Lytechinus pictus: one gene and its partner. The protein of the gene in region 1 interacts with the protein of each later gene in a biochemical or structural test. Links are inferred from orthologs where the notes say so. Each region holds a gene or a part of one and is shown on either strand. Other genes may lie near its edges.

Region 1 (10,641 bases):
ATCATTGCTGTGACTTATTTCATTACAAGGGAGACATATTATTCACACATGTATGAAAAAAGGGAAAGTGGGGATGTGGCATCAACAGCCCACCCAATGAATATTCATGACGACATGTATATAACTGTTTTAACAATGTATTGCTAAACATTAAAGTTCAATAACTTTGCTATTTGTTATCCAATTTTGACGAAATTTTCAGCATTTTGCACTGTGAATTTTACTCGATTTATTTAAATATAAATACTTTCAGCCTGGAGTATCCCTTTAAATCAACTTTTTGTTGAATTGGACTTGTCCTTTAATGTATTCATAACATAAAACAAATGTTACCATCTGTAAATTCAGTTTATGTTAAAGATCACTTTCGGAATTTGCCAGTGTTTCTTTATCATCGGGGCTGGGTCCCCTACGAGAGTGTTTCTTGTTTTGCAGTTTGTCTCTTTATACACACCCTCCAGGTGAATCCAATCTCCTTGAAAACTATAATGGCTATTGACACGATACTAACCTTCTCTTCAATGGCTTGCAGAACAGACATCCTGATAAATTATACGATTAGTTGATCTCCAACTCTTCTCTTGAAAGTCTGTCCTGAAGTCTCCCTATCCTACAAGAACAATAACAATAATCACACATTACATATTACTTACAATGTACAATAGCATACAGTATGGTTCAGGATTCCGTTCCGTCACGGTCCAAAATCCCACTTTATCCGACAGGACGGAAATAAGGTATAACTTTACTTTAATATTTGCCAGAAATTGTAAGAAATTAGTTTTAATGGTTTAGTAGTGTCAGTGTACTCCTAAATTAATACCCTATGGGGTCCCAGCCTCCCAGCTTATAATGTCCAATATAACTATCTGAAAATTTATGAAATATGTGTCGGAGTGCTCCAAACTATTATTTTTTTACAAAAAACTTGAAATTTGAACTGATGTTTCGCAGATAACCTCAAGGAATACGATAGGATTGATTGTAGGCCCGTTTCGAGTACAAGTGTACACGCACGGTCAAGTCAGTGCATGTGTACTGAATCCCATGACCGTGTACACGGTAGCATCTGCATAAAACTTGCGTGGGAGTTGTAAACAAGTGAACAAGCTCACAGCCTCACATTGATTCTAAGTTCTCATACGCTACACAACTTTTAATCACTATAATTCCACTTTCATACCCGCCCCTAAATTTCTGTACTTGTGCAAGAAGCCATAGCGCTCACTCACAAGCAACCACTAAGTACATAATTACCTAGTGAAACAGTAAAAAAGATCAGCTTAAATTTCCCTCAGGACACAAGTTTAGCCACACACTCACTCGCATTCAATTTACAGCTCACATCAACGTGTTTGTCGATTCTTATCGACAGAGAATTTTCTTACCGATAACAGCACTAATATTCATAGTACAAATTTTGAGCTTTTCAATGAAAGGGAAGATCAAAGTCAAATTCACTTTGAAATTTCAGGTTTTGGTTCCCAACTTCTGGCTCCGACCCAAAAATATCCAAGACTATTGAAAGGGGAATTGAGGCCCACCGATGTAGATACTGTTCTAAGGCCTTGGTGTTGGTGGCCTTAAATTCATTCATGCCCTGCTAATGTGAGTTTACAAAAATTATCCAAATCACATTGACAACTCAACACCTAATGAGCAATAACTCAAAGGTTGGATCATACATGAAGATGCTTCATTTTTAAGTGATGATACCTATGTACAACTGTTATAATATAACTTCAATTTAATAATAATAAAAATAATAATGTCATATTTTACCCAGGGTAGCCACTTCAGTTCTGAAAACTGTTCTACCAGCCAGCCCTGCTTAACATGATAATATTATCATTACACCGGCTTTAGCACAGCTACCTTTATCATTTAGTCATTTACTTTTGAAATGACATCCTTGTAATGCCTTCAGATTATCCAAATCAGTTTTCTGCCAAAGTTTAAAAGTCGAAGTCTTGCTTGCATTATGCGATTTCCAGACCTAGCTTGTTCACAACTAGGGTCTTGAGTAACGCGCCCAGAATTCAACATGTGCCGCCATTCGACATGGCAAATTCATTTCACGAGCCAGGACAGTCAATCACCACAACACACACCCAGCGTATACATGAGCGCGACGGGCGATTTCGCCCCGATGACAGCCAAAATCACGGCCTAAAATTCCCTCAAAATGCATGCATTGGGGCAACCATTCTTTCTAGTGTTGTCCCATGATCTGTTCCAAACAATTCAAGATTTAGAAAATCAATATTCTAACTGTGGCAGAAGAATATTTGCATTTATTGCACACATACTTTTTACCCCTAAAAAGTAGCCCTTCAAATGAAAAAAATATAGAAAAATAGCCCCTAAAAAATCAAAATTATTTCCTATCCTGCACACACCAATTCATTTTATGACTTAAAAACACATGTGGACGTTGAGATGGGTACCCCCGGGATATCAAATTCTGATAGTTTACAAAAGTTAATCATAAAGGTTCCTTTGTAAAATGAAAATAATTATATGCCTTTTTATGATTCCTAACATCAAAATATAGTGTAAGTAGCATCAATTGTCTAAATCTTTAGATACCGAAACATACTTGACTAATTCTATGCATGTATATGTAATAAAAAATTATCAAAATGTTGATAAGAGTCTGAAAACAAAGGATACAAGTCCAATTATGGATGGCCTGACGTGGCAGTATCTTTATAGATTCAATCCATTTTACTTCTTCAAAATGAATGGTTTTGTGGCGTTTTACCAACAGTTTTATAGCTTCTGGATATTACAATTACTGATCTTTCCCACTTGTTTTGCAATGTAATTATAACTTATATGATTGACAATGTAAGATTATGATTTTCAAATTTTGAGGTGCTTTTGCATTTCATAGTCTACCCACGTTATGCCACTACGTCATTAAGTTCGGTATGCTCGACCTGTAATGAAAATCATAAGTCAGAAAAAATTGGAACCAGTGGGATTCGAACCTTATTTTTCTGACTTATGATTTTCATTACAGATCGAGCATACCGATCTTAAACAAATGGGAGTAATGCCAAAAAAATTTTGTAAACAAATTATAATTTCCTCCTATTAAAGCCTCTTCATTTACTATCTATTGTCCACGCCAGACGGCATTCGAATACTAAAGAGGATCGAGGGTATTTGATTTCCAGTTCATCTTGGCTTAGCCGTGAACCAGAATAGGCTGGTGGTTAAGTCGCTGCCCGGAAAGCAGTAGATGGCAGGTTCGAATCCCACTGGTTCCAACTTTTTCTGATTTATGATTTTCATTACAGATCGAGCATACCGATCTTAAACAAATAGGAGTAATGCCGAAAAAAATTTGTACACGAAGTATTATAATAATTTTCTATAATCACGTATTAAATTTTACTTGCTACATAATAATTTTTATCTATAAATTGTTCTTCAAAACGGCATTTTGTAACATCGCTAATTGAAGGTACGTCATAAAGAAGCGGTTCAAGGGTCAGGCCTATTGTATTTGCTTTGTTGACAAACGGATCGAGGGATCTACACGAGATCGGTCTGGTAAGAAACCTCTCATTTATGCCATTTATAGTGAATAAAATTTTTATCCCCTTATATGCATTAGGCGTATGAAGGTTCATAGATAAATAAAATTCACCCGTACAAACCGATTTCACCCTCTAACTACGGATTTCCTAGGGAAATCCATCCGGGTGTGTAGGTCTCGCTTATGCGAAAAGTTCTCTCCTTCTACCCCCGTCTCGATCAGCCATTTTTGTTATGAATCGTAACAAAATGGCCGATCGAGACGGGGGTAGAACTAGAAGGAGAGAACTTTTCGTTTTTTTGAAGTTCCAGTCTGTGCCTCGATGTCAGGAAACTGCCACTCGTTAGACCTTCATCCATATCATCGCGGTAAGTGCATAAATTCTGTTTTCACTATTCATTTGGAGAAATATTTAGACCATAAATCACGCTAGTCCTGTGAGTATGGTCAAATACACGGTAAGCCCCTGGGCTCCGGCCCGCTGCGCGGGCCGGAGCTCCCTGGGTTAAGCAGAGAGCAGTTCATTATTTCTAATTCTATTCAAATTGAAAATAATTTAAAGTTTTTTAAACAACCATTATAAGGGAGAAAATATTTGGAAAAACAATAATAATATGGACAGTAAACTAATGAAATAAGAGACATGATCTCATCTAACAACATAGCCTTAGGCTGGCTCTTGATACTGATGAACTCAACACTAAAAACAGGAACACCGCACCACCACTCATCATATACACGGAACCTCCTCTCTCGCAGTAGAGAGCCTACGGGTTCGAGTGAGGATCGGAGCAGGCGTTCACTATGCACCCGCTGGTCTCCGCATATTCACACACAGCATTCGCATCATCACTTGCTCGGTGTTCGACGCTTAGTGCCATGTTCAGCAAACACCAGTCAGAAAACCTTATCAAAATCATTTCCAATCTTAAAATCGCATATCGAATAAAACATAGAAGTACAAACTACTTACCCTACCACCAGAAAATACAAAATTGTTATTTATACCGGCGCTATTTCCCTATTTTCCTCGCATTATTACACTCGTGTGTATTGCCAATATGGTCGACATTGAACCGAATTGCTGGCCAACTGCAGAGGATGTTCATACGCTGATTTGAAAATTACATGAAAATGATCTTCGATGTTATCCCACCATTCTAGAATATAACAAAGAAAAATAAAAATAGATTTGATATCGATTTCAATTTAAAAGGAGTGAAAGGAGTAAAATCTGAGAACTATTCTTTCATGCGGACGTACACAAAAAATATTCGTGGCAGGGGTGACGTCACAGCGAGATACTCCGCGCGCCCTCTCGTACCCTCCCACTTTGGGGCGTCGCGAATACCCTCGAACTATCTTGGGCGGCGTCCCTGAGCCCCCAGGCCCCATCCCCTTCCGAAGCGAGGGGCGATCGAGGGACCATGCTGACAGCCTTCCCCCCCCCCTCCCGCTTTTGTCCTTGTCAATAATGTCAATAATAAACATAGGCCTACAAACACGTGACGATCTGATGATGCGCTTATGTGTGTGTCAAAGTGGCGCGTACGTATTATAGGATTTTTTTTCCTGGGGGGGGGGGCACTGGGGGTCCTTGCTTTTTCAGGGGGGCAACATTCTTTCTGTGTGTATGTGTCACAAGGGCAGATCCTACTTTCGCCAATAGGGGATAGGCCCGAAATTATCTTCACCTATATTTTCCCCGATCAGTCAGTGAGTCACTTCTTAGCTTTATTCTTATAAAACGAAATAAATATGAAATAATATCATACGCCCTATTCTTTTTTTTTTTAGTGCGAGCGCGAAGCGAAGCGCGAGCGATTTTTTTTTAATTTCATGTATTTTGTCCTGAAAATTTAACATTCTGGGCAATGTTTATGATCTTGAACGAAGCGTATGGCTTGATATAGTTACTGTGAACGCCAAGCGCAAGCAGAAATTTTTAATAAATGTTCTATAATAATAGTGATCGAAAAGGGCTGTAAAGGACTGTTTACAGTTACCCACGAAGACGGTACATATTTCAATAATGGGAGCATGAAGCGCGAGCTAAAAAAATTTGACATTCCGACCTAAAAATTGTCATTCTAAGCACTTTTTGTAATCATAAATGGGATAGGTATGTAACTAAATAATTGATGCGAGCGCGAAGCGCGAGCAGAAGAAATTTGAGATTTTAGACCTAAAAGCAGGATATTCTTTTCATATTTTCTAAATCATGAATATGGTTAATTGGTTATCATTAATAATGCGAGTGTGAAGCACAAGCAGACAATTACTGATATTCTGATCTGAAACTGGCTAATTTAAGCACATTTTAAATTAAAAAAAACATGCAGGCTATCGCGCATGTTTTAGATTTTGACCGAGAATCTGGGCATTCTGAATACATTTGTTTAATCATGAAGATCAATAATGCAAGCGCGAGCTGAAAACATTTGATATTCCGATCTGGAAAAAGGTCAATTTAAACACTATTTCAAGCCCTTTGTATATACAGTTGTATATAGGAAATTTGTGAAGTAGATGTGGATCAGACTTAATGAATGATGCGAGCGCGAAGCACGAGCTGATATTTTTTGTTATTATTTTAACAAACTTGGACCGGTACATTCTAAGGACATTTTGTCATCATATGAAAATGGTGACTATCTTCCTATTATTCCTAAGCTTGTCGATATTCCATTCTGAAAAGACGCAATTTGGTTATTAGGAATTCATGAAAATTATTTTCTTATGTATTAGATCAATAATGCAAGCGCGAGCCGAAAACATTTGATATTCCGATCTGGAAAAAAGGTCAATTTAAACACTATTTTAAGTACTTTGTACAGTTGTAGGAAATTTTGTGAAGTAGATGTGAATCAGACTTAATGAATGATGCGAGCGCGAAGCACGAGCTGATATTTTTTGTTATTATTTTAACAAACTTGGACCGGTACATTCTAAGGACATTTTGTCATCATATGAAAATGATGACTATCTTCCTATTATTAAGCTTGTCGATATTCCATTCTGAAAAGACGCAATTTGGTTATTAGGAATTCATGAAAATTATTTTTTTATTTATTAATCTGCGTAATGACAGCGAGGAAGTTGTTAATTTTAAGGCTTAAAACTGGAAATTTTAAGCATTTTGTAATTATGAATACGCATTACAATGGTTGATACATCTTTAACAATTAATGCGAGCGCAAATCGCGAGCTGAATTTTTTAATAAAATGTAATGAAAAGGGGAACTTGTTTGGTTATATGCGTATCAAAAAAGTTTACACTTAGAAAAATTCCTGTAAAATTACACATTTGTAATATCTTGAAGATTTTTCCACATTTTAACATTGGTACAGATCCATTTAAGCAAATGACGATAACTGTCGAAAAATATTTCCGCTTGAGTGAGCACCTGCACCTACTTTTGAAAAGTTAGTGAAAAATGATTGAGCATAACTTTGAAATAGTTATGCGAATAAAAGTAGACCTTAATCACGAAGAACACATGGAATTTAGCTAGTAAAATTGGTTTGAGGATATCTTTTACCCTTTTTAACTTGTTTCCTTGCCCAAAACACTTCGAAGAGTGCATTGTGCCCCACCCCATGCACTCCCCCACACACCGAGGCATTCGTGACGATATTTGCTTTACACTGAGCTGTGATTTACATGAAATGGCTTAGGCTTGATTTTCATTTTGTTAATCATTGTCAAGCTTGGGAAAAGTGTGTAGAAACAAGTATTAAATGAAAAATGAAATGTAGACCCACTTTAAATTATAAAAACTTAGTGAAAAAATGCTGGAGATGTCTTATATAAACTTTTGTTCAGATTCAGTTATGTCCTCAGATCCAGCTGGCACAAAAAGGGTAAAGGTTGTGCTTACTAAGTGTTGAAATTTCAATTTGGTTAGCACAATTGTTACAAAATGCTTGAATGTATCCGATTTATTTAAATTGTCTAAAAGTGCAAGGGAAATGTATGAGAAATGTTTTGCAGGTTAAGTTTGATTTGGCCCTTTCTCCCGGGGGGGGGGGGCACTTACATTGACGAGTGGATACCATGCGCGACCAAAAAAACACGTAAAAAGGATGTCTTTTTCAAGATAGGGCACGCTACGTACGTAACTTGATAAGGGTGTAAAAAACACAAAAATATTGAAAAAGTGGTATCTATTTCGCTCGGAAAAATATACGTGTTTAGGGTCAAATATGCAGGGATGATAAAACAAAATCAAAATGTTTTATAAAGGATGTCCTTTTTGCCCCAACACTATACGTGTTTAGAGTCCGATTTGCGCGAGGTGTGGAAGGTGTCTAAAGGTAAAACCGACGACCGACGGACGCGTGACATAACAATAAAATATCTCTGTACTTGTTTAGGGGTTCATTTCAGGGAATACTTGCTAAGAGTATCGTTTTGTTTCCAATACTTGTTAAGGGGTGCATTTTCAGAATATGGAAAATACATCGCTGTACTTGTTTAGGGGCTCAGTTCTGGGAATTGCCAATAGTCTTTGTTTCTAATACTTGTAAAGGGTAGGGTTTCACACGCCAATACTTGTTAAGGGGTGCATTTTCAGAAGATGGAAAATACGTGTTTAGGGTGCTTTTCAAGACCCCGTGGTCGCGCATGGTATCCACTCCTCAATGGAAGTGGCCCCCCGGGCCCTTTCCCCTTGCACAGCGTGAAAACTAGCATTTTTGCGCAAACAGATTTCTGCGAGCTTTACAAAAATGGACAGTGCTCACTCAAGTGTAACATTCGGTCAAAACTTTTACTTTCATTGGATAGATGAGACCCAAACCCAAGATTATATGTGAAAAAATTACCCACATGCTGTATATTTTTTAATTTTCAGGGATTTTTCAAAGTGTAAACTTTTTGTTGATACGCGCTGTAGAATTAATATAGAGTATTACTCACCAATCAAAATGCGAGCGCGCAACGTTAACTTATATAGGCATACGTTTGACAATCACATCTGAAAATTGATATTTTGATAACTTTATGGAATACACGAAGACAATCAAATAATGCGACCACGCAGCGTGAGCTTAAAGTGTTGATAATTTATGTAGACCATAAAACGGACATTTTACAGAGCACTTAAATTTGTAAATTAAAAAATAAAAAATAATGAAAGCTCGATGTCCGAGCTGAAATATGTTTTGTATATTGACTTCAAAACTTGATAAGCTCCATATCAGCCTATTGAGCAAGATGTGAATCTTATCGAACAGGCAATTCGGGCGTGAAGCTCAAGCGAAATTTTTATATAGTAACATGAAAGATTTTTTTTTTTTTTGCAAGTCTTTCCTTTACATTATTTTATTCACTCGTCTTCCTCCTCTTATTTTCCTCTTTTTTCCTTCTGTCTTTCTCCTTTTTCTTTTTTTCTTTTCTTCTTTTTCTTTTTTCTTTTCTTCTTTCTCCTTTTTCTTGCTCCGCCAATTTTTTTTAGGGGGGGGGGGGGGGCACCTGGGGGCACATCAAATCTCAGGGGGGCATGTGTCCCCCAGGCCCCCCCCCCTTAGCTACGCCACTGGTGTATCTTTTTTGGGGGGCGTGGTCAGTCCATCCCCCTACCTCCACATTCAAAACTGTACCGTGGCCCCGACCCCTGGCATACACATGCTTGACCAGAAAAATATATATATATTGAGGCGCTAAAACATCACGAGGAAATGGATGACAAATCCCTATGACAGTTTAAAAAAATATATGTATATACATATATATTGTCAAACCCATAGACCTACAGTTAAGTTGGAAAGGGAGTTCGCTTTTTCAATAATTTGGTTCTCATCGGTATAAAAAGGTTATCGACTCCATAACTGTCAACCTTTTCCATATTTCTGAAAATTCTAACAAGCATCATGCACTTAATTTAAGAAAAATATAATTATTGAATTTTCTGGCAAGCCCTTACTTTTATGGCCCTATTATCTGATTTATATAAAATAAGAATAATTTAAAAGATGCATTGGATTGAAATGAGCAGAGGTACACGGGGGCACCTACTATTGACAAAGCTCCGTTGCCAATACTCGTAATTAAACCCCATATAGGCCTATTTTACAAATTAATAGCTTTTGTTTTCAGTATAATTATTTGTCCATTTTTTTCTCATATTATTTTCTTTTTCTGAGGTGTGAAATGTGTATAGAAATTAAATGAGACAAATGTTAACACCTCTCCGCCTCTGTAAAGGTCCACAACATGGGTCGGAAATATTGTACCCCTATCTCCTGGAGGCAGGGGCGGATCCAGCCTTCACCAATAGGGGGAGGCGGATTTTTTTCAGCCACATTTTCCCGATCGGCAGCTCGAAGTTGATTTTTGTTTGTTTCTTTGAAGGGTTGTCTTATTTTTTAGTCACTTCTAAGCTTTATTCTTATAAATCAACATAAATATATAATAATCTCATAAGCCTTTTCTAAATAAAGCGAGCGCGAAGCGCGAGCTTTTTTTATTTCATGTATTTAATTGTCCTAACAATTAAACATTCTGGGCAATGTCTGTGATCCTAAACGAGATGTGTATCCAACTATATAATTTTGACATTTCTACCTGAAGAATATAAATTCTAAGCACTTGTAATTGTGAAAAGGATAAGTATATAATTAAACAATTGATGCGAGCGCGAAGCGTGAGCGGAAAAATTCGAGATTTACACCTAAAAATGGGACACTCTATTCAAGTTTTGTCAATCATGGAAAGGATGAGGAATTTGAAACATTACTACATTAATACTGTGAGCGCAAATTGCGAGCAGAAATTTTTTGATATTCTGGTCTGAAACTGGATAATGATTTAAATAAAGAACAAGCTGCGTATCTGAACATGCGCGTGCGTGTTTCAGATTTCGACCAGAATCTGGGCATTCTAAATAACTTTTTTAATCATATAATCATAATATAGGTATCATGTTAATTCATTTCTATAAACGGTCCCTTTCAGGCTGTCATATTTTTTTGAAAAGAAGTATTTGAAAAGCAAAAAAAAAGGGGGGGGTCCTCATGTGCACTTTCAAAAGGGGGGCACATTTGGGTAAAAGCGGTGTATTAATACATTACAAATTTTGATTATGGCTCTC
Region 2 (10,586 bases), on another chromosome or scaffold:
CATTTCACTCCACCCTCACACATACATGCATCATAAAAATATATAATATAGAGGTCCATTAAAAACCACATCCACCCACAAGTGCATCAAACATGATCTCATTTTCTTTCTCTTTCATCTCCATCACCAATTATCTTGAGAGTAAATCAATTTTATTTCTTTCTTGGAATTTTAAAACAACTTTGCAGCAAAGACTGCACTTGAGTGTAGAGTGTAGTGTAGACCAGGTCATAGGCCAGGATGGATATTGACAAGGATGGTAAAAGCAAGTACTGCCAAGTAGCCAGGAAAATGTACACGAAACATCATCGATCAGCTGTTCTAATAGTTTGGTATGATGCCATTGGTAGGATCGGTGCTCAAGCTTCATCTAAAAAAATAAAACATAAATATGAAAAAGTCATTGTAAAGAGATGCACTTCCAGTTCAAACCTATATTGAGCAATATTTAATTTATTTTTAACAATAACACAGATTCAATGGCTGGGCTGAATCAAGGTAACTGAGGCCTATATGTTGCCAATTTCATGAATAACAAAAACAAACTTTGTCTGCACATAACATACCCCTGGGCCCCTAAATTGAAAAAAAAAACATTTAGGCCTATATTGCTGTGTTGGCAACACCTACAGATTTTTTTTTAAAGGTCTCTTTTTCATTATTATTAATATTGTATTGCCAATTTGAAGAGAAAAAGATTATGAAGTGCAATGACATTAAGCCCCAGCACAGCCAAAAGCGATGTCGATGATTCAAACTTCAAAAGTCAGAATGACTCCCCAGATTCGCTAGTCCAACTCCAAGTGAAGTCTGACATTGACAATAAACTTAATTAAGGTAAGTCCAACTTCCATTTATCAATATTATTAATATAATCATTATGGTCAAACAATGAAATTTCCTATTAAATAAATCCATCGAATCACTAAAACCTTTGAAAATAATTATCCTTCCGTTTCGTTTGGCTAGGCTAACTTTATTACGTGTGTAGCCCATAGGCGTACGCATAGCCACCCGGCTCACACGCAATCTCGAACTCGTGAATTTCCTCAAAATCCACCCCGGGACGCCAGGGGAAGCCCCTGTTCCAACCTCAATATCTTAAAACCGCTATGTCATGCGACAAAGTGGAAAGAAAAATCAAGTCCAGAATGAATTCAGCTTTCAGAAAATACCACATTTTCACTTCTATCTTGATGGATATATATCGTATTTCACATAATATCGTCGAAAAATACGAAAATTCAACGGAAAATTGTACTTACCAGTGATATTCCAGACCAATTTGACAGTCAAAACTATTCGTTGAAGCTCTCCCATTGTTCGTTGACGATGACGTAAGTATCCATGATGAAATTTTCATACACATCATACCTATTGGGCAAATCACTTTAAAAATAAGAGTAGATTCATCCACCCTTACATTTGCCAATACACTCGGCAATCTCAACGATAGCAGCTTATCGGCGGCAAAACGGTCCATGCAAAAAAAGCGCCGTTTACGCGCAGCGCCCTCTAGCGTTCATGATTGTACCTACTTAAGATACAAACCACAACTAAGGAGACAAACAATCAGTTGTATAGGCAACATTTATCTCAATTAACTTTTTCTTGTCATTCTTGCAATGTGTGTTAATGCTTTTTCGTGTCTTCTTAATTTGACTGAGAATGAGGTTTTCAAGATTGGCTCCAACACTAGGCCTACACTACAGTTCAATCATTGACCGACACTCTTGTTCTAACATTCATATGTCAGAACAGAGATTACCTAATACGTAATAAAATGTAGAGTCTACAAGCAATTCAATGCGTAAGATGATGTTGCCTGTTTTCTAATTTTTCTGCATAAATGCATTAATCATTTCATATCACAAAAAATCAATTTTGCTGAGGCGAGTGATAAATTGCTCTACCTGAAAAGGCGAGTGATCACTCTCACTCCCCTTAAAGGAGAATGAAACCCTTGAAACCAGCTGAATCCATATCAAAGAGAAAAATCAAAGAAACATATTGTTGAAAGTTTGAGGAAGATTGAATGAATAATAAGAAAGTTATGAGCATTTGAATATTGAGATCACTAGTGCCATGTAGATCCTCCCATCGGCAATGCGACCAAGATCTGTGATATCACACACGTACAACTCCCTCATTACTTTAGTACTTATTTAACTTATATTCTCACTTTTATAGAGTCTATCACAAGGTGAGGTGTTCTCTTTATGAGATGACAAGTACAGAGGTTTCACAACATTATATCATTGATGAATCGTTTGTCATATGATTAGAATGAGCAAAAAGAGATGTTTTGGGGTATATTTTCAGTGTCCAAATGGGAGAGTTGTACGTGTGTGACATCACAGATCTTGGTCGCATTGCCAATGGGAGGATCTCCATAGCATTAGTGATCTCGACATTCAAATGCTCATAACTCTTTTATTGCTAGTCCTATTTTACTCAAAGTTTTGTTGATCTTATTCTTTGATTTTTCTGCTTTCACAAAAGCTAACTTGCTCCAAGAGTTTCATTCTCCTTTAAAACTGAGTCTGTTGAGTTGTCGAAATAGGAATTTTTAACGGCCATTTGAATACAACTATTTAGGTAGAATCTAGGCCTAACGATTAACGTTAGAAACATTTTGGTACAGTAGATTATTATTCTGCAACTGCAACGTCACTCAGAATCAGAGTTAAGCTAATTCTAACATTTAATAATAAACATTAAATTCACCTTTCAAAAACATTTCAAACTCAGTAACTGTATGGTCAGTTCCCCCATGTCTGCGCGGTCTCCCAAGTCTGCGCACCCGCGTATCTGCGCGATTCTAGTAAAAGAAGATACGCAACGAGCACGAACTTTACACATGCAATACATAGACAGGTATTCTTAAAAAAATCCGACTCAAAATGGTGAAAAAATAATGAATTCAGGGCATTTCATGTGACGGCCTCAAAATACAGCCTTTCTAATCAAAATCTCTGAATCGTGTGCAAAGTGAATGAGTGCGCAGACATGGGGTACCATTTTTTTTTTCAATCTGAAAATGACTGTCCAAGGTTTTTTCAAGAAAATCCTATATTTTCTTTCATTTTTTAATGAGAAATTTGGTATACTTACTCTCAATAATATAAGGAACATTATTATCCAAAAGATTTTGTGAAATAAGAAGAAATCCATGTTAAATCTTAACTCAAATTGTTAGGTGCAGACTTAGGGCCCACCATCATACTACTAAGTTGGAGATCAAACACTAAAACAGTTAACTTTTTAGGTCTATAAACGACAATGAACGATAGATCTAACAGTAACAAGTAACACGACTATTTTCTAATTTCCTTGTCAAATTAATTCATGAAACTTTTTTTTTGCCATTGCATTGGCAAATGCGGCAGGCTGAGAATGATGGACATTTGCATGTATAACTTAGTATTGTAACTTTGTTAAATTGACAATGACAGTCATTATTTTTTTCAATTAAAATAAATGACTGAGTGTAACGTAACTTACAGTTACACTATTGTCACTAGTCACTAGGCCTAACTATAACAACTAAACTAAAGTCTAAATTGACAAATGTCATCTCAGCTCAGCTCGGCGCATTTTCACGTCACTGCCGTTCATTCTAATATAAATATAATTATCATAACTCATGTCTATACCTGTCTTACATAATGAATTTGTTGTTGGTTCATTTGATTTGATTATTTACTTTAAGTTTGAGCAGCAGACAGACTGAATGAATGTGGGCGGGCGTAGCCACCGCCGCGCCGCAGCAAGCACACAGCATTTAAAATTATAGCACGGCGTTTGTACCGGCGGAATAGCATACAGAGATACGATAGCGATGGCAACGAACGTCATCACCGATTACCATTCTAGCGTATGGATAAAAAGAGTAGTAACTTACACTTTGTCCGTTAATTCACGGATCTTCCACATAGCCGACTGCATGATGGTGGCTTATGCAAAATCTAGTATTTTTGAAGAAAAAGTGATACGAAATACACAAAATTCAATTAGATGATCAAGGATTACGAATCCGTGATTTGGTGGTGGGCGTCTGCTGTGTACACTTGAAATGGATTTGCCGGTGTGCCGACGTCATCAAATCCGTGACCTCATTCAATGAATATGGGCAGCCCGAAGTTCCACAAAACAAAATGCTATTTAGCCATTTATCAGGAGAGCGGTTCGATCTGTAAGTTTCATCGGTATTGCCAATTCGGTGTATATACCTTCATTGAGTCTAACGCCATTCTGTCCATCAACATTTCGTCTAACAACCGTTTGGTCAAATAAATTTGGTCCAATAATCAGGCTTCGTCTAATCACCATTTCGTCTCATTTGGTCTAATATCCATATTATTTTCATTAATTTTGCCCAATTAACACTCAGTCTAAATGGTATGGACTAAATGGCTATTTGATCAACTGGTTATCAGACGAAATGATGATAGACCACATGATAGTAGACGAGGTGGTCTATTATAGCCGAATTGCCATTAAAGTGCAGTTAAACACATACTTGTCTTTAAGATGTAACTCTCTCGCTAGACAAATATTTTGTTGTATTGATATAATTTAAAGTAAATTATTACGCCTCACACTAAATATTTGTATTTATAGTTGTGAAACATAATTTGTTTGTTTGGTTTTTATCTGTGTGTATCATTAGTTAGTTCGTTTGACTTTCTTAGTATTTTTTTAAATATACATGCATGTATTTTATATTTCCAAATGTGTGACAACGGCTCAAGCATCTGCTTGTATTGTCATACCACTGCATGTCTGCATTGCCACTTTCATATAATCAGTTAATGTAAATGATCATAATTATACTTCATATTATATTTTTAATGTAAAATTTAATGTATTAACATTTTGTGATGGTCACACTGTCGGTACATTGTCATGACATGCAGAAACGAATAAATAAATAAAAAAATGGAAATAAACCGTTTCGTCGCCGTAAAAATAAAAAAGGAAATAATTAATCAAAAGAAAGTTTCTTTCAATCTTATCTACCTCGGTCAATGGATGGCGGGCCATGAAGTTACAATTATTACTCATGATCGATGGGGGGGGGGGGGGCATGCAGGATACTGTCGAAGAGCCACCCACCCTTTCCCCCAAAAAAAATCAAAAGTCACCCTTTGAAGAAAATCGAGCCCTGCCCCTGCCAATCGCAACTGCCCCCCACCCCCCCCCAAAAAAAAAAACCTTTGAAAAAAGAGCCCTGCTCCAGTGCGAATCACAACTCGTCTGCAATGGACAATCATGCCTAGAAATATATTTGGCATTATATTTCATTTATATAGATAAGAATTGATGCTGGTGCTTCCGCAGGTGGAGGGAGCAGGGGAGACCACCCGACCCCACCCCTTTAAGATTTTTCAAAAAAGAGGGAGCTTGAAAAGAGGAGAAAAATTGAAAAGTTCAAGAGGTGTGTCAATGTACTCCTATACTGTATAGAAGAAAATGCTATATGCAGGAACCCCCCCCCCCTCACCCGCTCCCCAAGGGAAAGGTTCCGTGAACTAGATTTTTAGACGGGTCCGGGATTTCATGGGGCAAATATGAAACCATCTGAGCAATTTTTAAATGGCATTTACCAGGACTGCCTTTTCTAACGCATCATGAAAGTTGGTCTGGGGGCTGATCGATAGCTGAGGGAGTCGCTGGAATTCTCTTGACTGACCTTATACATTGCCCTCAACAGAATCATATTAGAAATATATTAGCCCGGTTCTTTTGTAGACAGGCCGGTGCATGGGATTCGATCCTCGGGGCTGGTGGCGGGCCATTCCCCAAAGCAGGGGCGGATCCAGAATTTTCCAAACGGGGGGGGGGGGCACATTTTCCCCAGGAATAATTTGACAAACACAAAAAAATGATTTTCAACAAAAAATATACATTTCGTCCACAAAAAGATTTGACAAGCAAAAAAAAGAAAAAAAATAGGTCTTCACTTTTAAAGGGGGGGGGGGGCATACTTCTGTTTTAACAGCATGTTTAGACTACAAATTTTAATTGTGCCTCTCAAAGGGGGAGGGGCGGGTCGGCTTTGCCCCCCCCCCCCCCCTGGATCCGCCAGTGCACCAAAGTTCGGGTGGGGAGGCCCGGCTGTATCCATCCCCCGACAATTTACGGGCAGAGCATTATGATGAATCAAAATTATGACCAGTATAAGGAGGGCCCTGTAATGATCATGATGGTGGTATAGTGCAGATCAATACGCATGGCACCTCATTTTTTCTGGTAATTTATCTATATGTTTTTTTTTTTTTTTTTAGTGAAACCGTTCCTTTCGAAAACTGTTATAAACAGATGGAAGGGGAAAAAAAATCCACGATGAACGAGAATGAAATGCTATAATGTTGACGTTTTAATCATCTCGATCTACCCTCCCCGGGGGGGGGGGCACTCAGTATATAATGCATAGTGGGTATGTGCCGCGGAGGGGACCCCCATTTTTACACTCAAATTTCCGTTCCAAGGCATAGCATTTTTGTCTTATTGAGAAAAAGAACAAAGAAAGCCGCTCCAAAGCTTCGCATATTTTTCGTTACGCCGTTCCGGTCGCATTGATCCGCTACAATTTTGGTGAAAAGCGGCCGTAGAGCGCTTTTCGACCAGCATCGGCTAAGCGCGAGCGCACCCGGCGGAGGCCGCGCTAGCTGCGTTATGCACGATTGCCCGTTCCATATGGATGCATACGCACTCACAGAGATACGGAGATCCGTTCCGAGGACCCCCGTTTTCACAAACATTTGTAGTTCCGAAGCCTGTTCCGAGGACCCTCCTTTTTAAAATAAGCCCGCTCCAAGGCCCCCGTTTTTTGCCTCGCCCGCGGCACACCCCTACCACTTTTTTGGTCGAGTGCATGCCCCCCCCCCCCGGGCTCCCCTCCCTGCAAACAAGCGCATGTGGTAGGCCTACTTGTGCCCCCCTTGTGCCCTAGCTGGCCATTTACCAATTTTTAAAATGCATTTTGCCCGACAGGCCTGCCTCCCCCCATATCATTTGTTTTGCTCATTACATCACTGAACCCCCTATAAAACCTTTAAAAAACCTTCCCACTGATGAAAAGAACAATATTTGTGTAAGTCATCTCCGCCAACCACGATTGTCAATCGACACGGGATCGACACCCATGTGTATACCTCTAAAAAAACACGCCCATAGAAAAAAAAGTCCGACATTCGGCTTATACAATATATAGAGAGTTCCCATGAGCAAGACATGTTGGAGGGCAAACAATAAGAAACCTGTGCATAAAACCATATTAAATCGTCATTTATGTTTTATCACTATTTATTATATACCCCTCCTCTATTACACACAGCAAAAAAATATTTGTCCCTATTTGCTCTCCATAGCTGTATGTTGTTTTTATTTTTGATAGGCCGACATAGGAATGGTTAGTTTGATCGAAGTCCATTTGATATATTTAAAATAATCTATAAATCTCTTTGATCAAATCAGAGTAAAATATACTGATGCATGGAAAAAGATGATAAATTGAAATTTATTTATCACACCAATAATTACTCGATATTATCTATGCATTTGTTAGAGAAAAAGTATGAATGTTGAATACCTAGATTTATGGACACAAGACTAAAATATTTAATAAACAAAACAAGCCAGCATGCATGATGATGCAGTGCCAGTGATGGCGTATGTATCGGTATCAGACCCAACGTGACTCTGATTAATTTTTGCAAGGCTTAAAATCCGCAGTCGATTCAACAGCTTGTTGTTCATTCATTGATAACTAATAACTGAAGTCGCTACCCGATCTCGAGTAAACAGACAAGGTAAATCGAGTCAAACTTTAAGTCAAACTAGCTCATTTTTTTCACACGCCACAGACAGTACGAACAGGCGCGATCGCTGACCCCCCGCGCCCCCGGGCTGCCCACCGCTTAATTCCGACCCGTGGCCGTATACCCGACCCCAGGCCCACTCAAACTCAATTAGGCATAATTTAACAAGTTAGTTTATGCACTGTTTCGTTACTAACCAATACTCAATAGCCTGTAACACTGGTTTGTTTCGCACAAGATGGGAATATATTACAAACATGCAATTGCTTGAGGAATAAATCTGACTTGAATGGATATTATTATATCACGACACATTTTCCTGCATGCGTTTCACATCCCATCATTCATAATTCATGTCCACATAGACTGATAATTCCGCTGTTTCGGAGGAGTTTTTCAACATTTTCTGATTTTTTTCCCTCCTAGTCCTATTGACGGAGGGGATGCCGCAGAGCCAGACGAAGTCTCAGCGGAGCAAATCCCTGATCTGACAGAAATACATGTAGACCTAATGTCCACACTGCCTGAATAATTAATATTTCTAAGACAAATGACTAAAGCCTAAAGGCCAGTGGCAGTGATTTTATCCATTCAAATAATGATGTAGATCAAGAATATTTCAATATACCATCAGCGTCGTCAGATCAGGCATCATCCAATTAAATGTATCTTTGACAGTAGACAAGTTATGCATGGTTGGATTATTAAAGGTCAAGTCCACTCAGGAAAATAGAAAAATCAAACTAGCATAGTGCTGAAAATTTCATCAAAATCGGATGTAAAATAAGAAAGTTATGACATTTTTAAGTTTCACTTATTTTTCACAAAACAGTGATATGCACAACTAGGTGAGTCAGTTGATGTCCATCACTCACTATTTCTTTTGTTTTTTATTGTTTGAATTATACAATATTTCAATTTTTTTAAGCTTTGACAATAAGGACCAACTTGACTGAAACATATAGTATTAAACAATGCTAATTCCACATGTTCAGGGAGGAATTAATCGCTGTATCACTTGACAATGAGGAGAAAATTAGAATATTTCATATTTCGTATAATAAAATACAAAAGAAATAGTGAGTGGATGACGTCATCAGTCTCCTCAATTGCATACCAACCAGGATGTGCATATACCGGTAACTGTTTTGTGAAATCAAGCGAAAATTTTAAATATCATAACTTTCTTATTTTACATCCGATTTTCATGAAATTTTCAGTGTTATGCTTGTTGGATTTTTCTCTTTTTATTCAAATCAACTCTTTGTTGGGGTGGACTTGTCCTTTAAATAATCATTTTTAATTGTTTTCAACTTTCTTTTCTTTTTCTTTATTATTTTTTTACATTTTTACAGCATGCCTTCCCTTAAGAAAGTAGCCTGTGACATGGCAACAGTTGTCCTGTCAACACCAATTGGTCATGTGACAGTGACCGGATGTGATGTCGGTGTGCACAAGATTAGTTTGACAGCTGCAAAGACATTGCCAAAACAGAGCACAAAGTGAGTACGGTATTACAAATTGTGGGAGCGGGGGGGGGGGGGCTTTGCTATTGGTGTGCTTTTGAATTTGCATGCCAAATCATACTATGTTTTCTCTTTGAATGTGATTTCAGCGGAAGAGTTGTGAAAAAAGCTGCAAGTTAATGTGCTAAAGAGTAAAATTAATAAATGATCACTTCTGAATCAACAGGGCAGCAACAGGGGCCTTATCAAGCTGACCCCCCCCCCCCCCCAATTAAAAAATAAAATATTTGGCTTGATTGTATGCTTCGTATCTTGTATTTTGTGTTCTAGGCATAGTTTGTATCTCAGACTTTTTTAGATTTGTTTGATAATATTAATAATCCTTTCTCATGAACAGAAGGATCTGTAACTTGGTACTTGATTATTATAAGACATTGTACAGTAGTTTGAAACGTGTGCATATTCATTTGATGAATCGGTTGTCAGAGTAGACTCATTTTCATGAAATAATAAAAGCATCATCACAGTTTAACTGTAGTGTACCTTAAAAAAGTAAATGACTTCAGACATTTTTTGTGTGAAATTTTTCCCCAAGAATAATAATTATAAAAGAAAACAAATATTAGGGGGGGGGGTGGGGGTATACCGGTAATTATGGATTTCAAAACATCAATGATCATTCAAAAAATTAATTTCATGCCACCATTTTAATGAATTTTTAAATAAGATTCTCTACCCATTTGGAAATCTTTAGATCTCCACACCACAAATCTCTGCAAAATAATCATTTTATTAAAATTTCCATACCTTCTGATCAGAATAATTGAAGTATTTGAGGAACCAAGCCATTGGTCAGCTTCCCTGAAGGAGTGCTCTGATTGGCTGAGAAAATATTTTGAAGATGCTAGTTCTATCACGAGCCTTCCCCTTCCTCCTCTGCATATTACAGAATTCAAATCAGGTAAATTGTGATTCATCTTAAAATCAGATTTATGTTTGAAACTTGTCCTAATCAATATAAAAACCTGAAGATGAAGTGCATGAATGATTTATTATGCCAGTTGATATAATTCAAAATTGCCGCAGTTGACTTCCAAATTAATTTTTTAGCCGTCCTCAAAGACATTTCCTAAAATCTTCCCATGTTTGACAAACAAAATATCAGAAATATTGTTATGTTAAAGTATCTTTTTTATAGAGATTTTTTTCCTGTAGAATATGTTAGTAAGATATAATTTAAAATTGCAATTTATGTGATGGTTAAATCTTTGTAAAACAGGAACTGTATTACCAA

The links. The genes of interacting proteins can lie anywhere in the genome.
Region 2: the proteins of AP-1 complex subunit gamma-1-like (region 1) and clathrin interactor 1-like form a complex in vitro, tested with the Homo sapiens proteins (2 studies listed by BioGRID). The link is inferred for Lytechinus pictus from reciprocal best matches to the Homo sapiens genes AP1G1 and CLINT1.

Annotation. Positions count from the first base shown.
Region 1 is NC_087246.1:45,989,521-46,000,161, forward strand, and holds the start of AP-1 complex subunit gamma-1-like, read right to left. Parts: upstream 4,835-10,641; 5' UTR 4,521-4,834; intron 611-4,520; 5' UTR 542-610; coding exon 512-541; intron 1-511. UniProt on the Homo sapiens protein: Subunit of clathrin-associated adaptor protein complex 1 that plays a role in protein sorting in the late-Golgi/trans-Golgi network (TGN) and/or endosomes.
Region 2 is NC_087256.1:25,890,463-25,901,048, reverse strand, and holds the start of clathrin interactor 1-like, read right to left. Parts: upstream 4,104-10,586; 5' UTR 3,949-4,103; coding exon 3,905-3,948; intron 1-3,904. Other genes in the region: methylated-DNA--protein-cysteine methyltransferase-like, read left to right, coding at 9,183-9,328, 10,111-10,253. UniProt on the Homo sapiens protein: Binds to membranes enriched in phosphatidylinositol 4,5-bisphosphate (PtdIns(4,5)P2). May have a role in transport via clathrin-coated vesicles from the trans-Golgi network to endosomes. Stimulates clathrin assembly.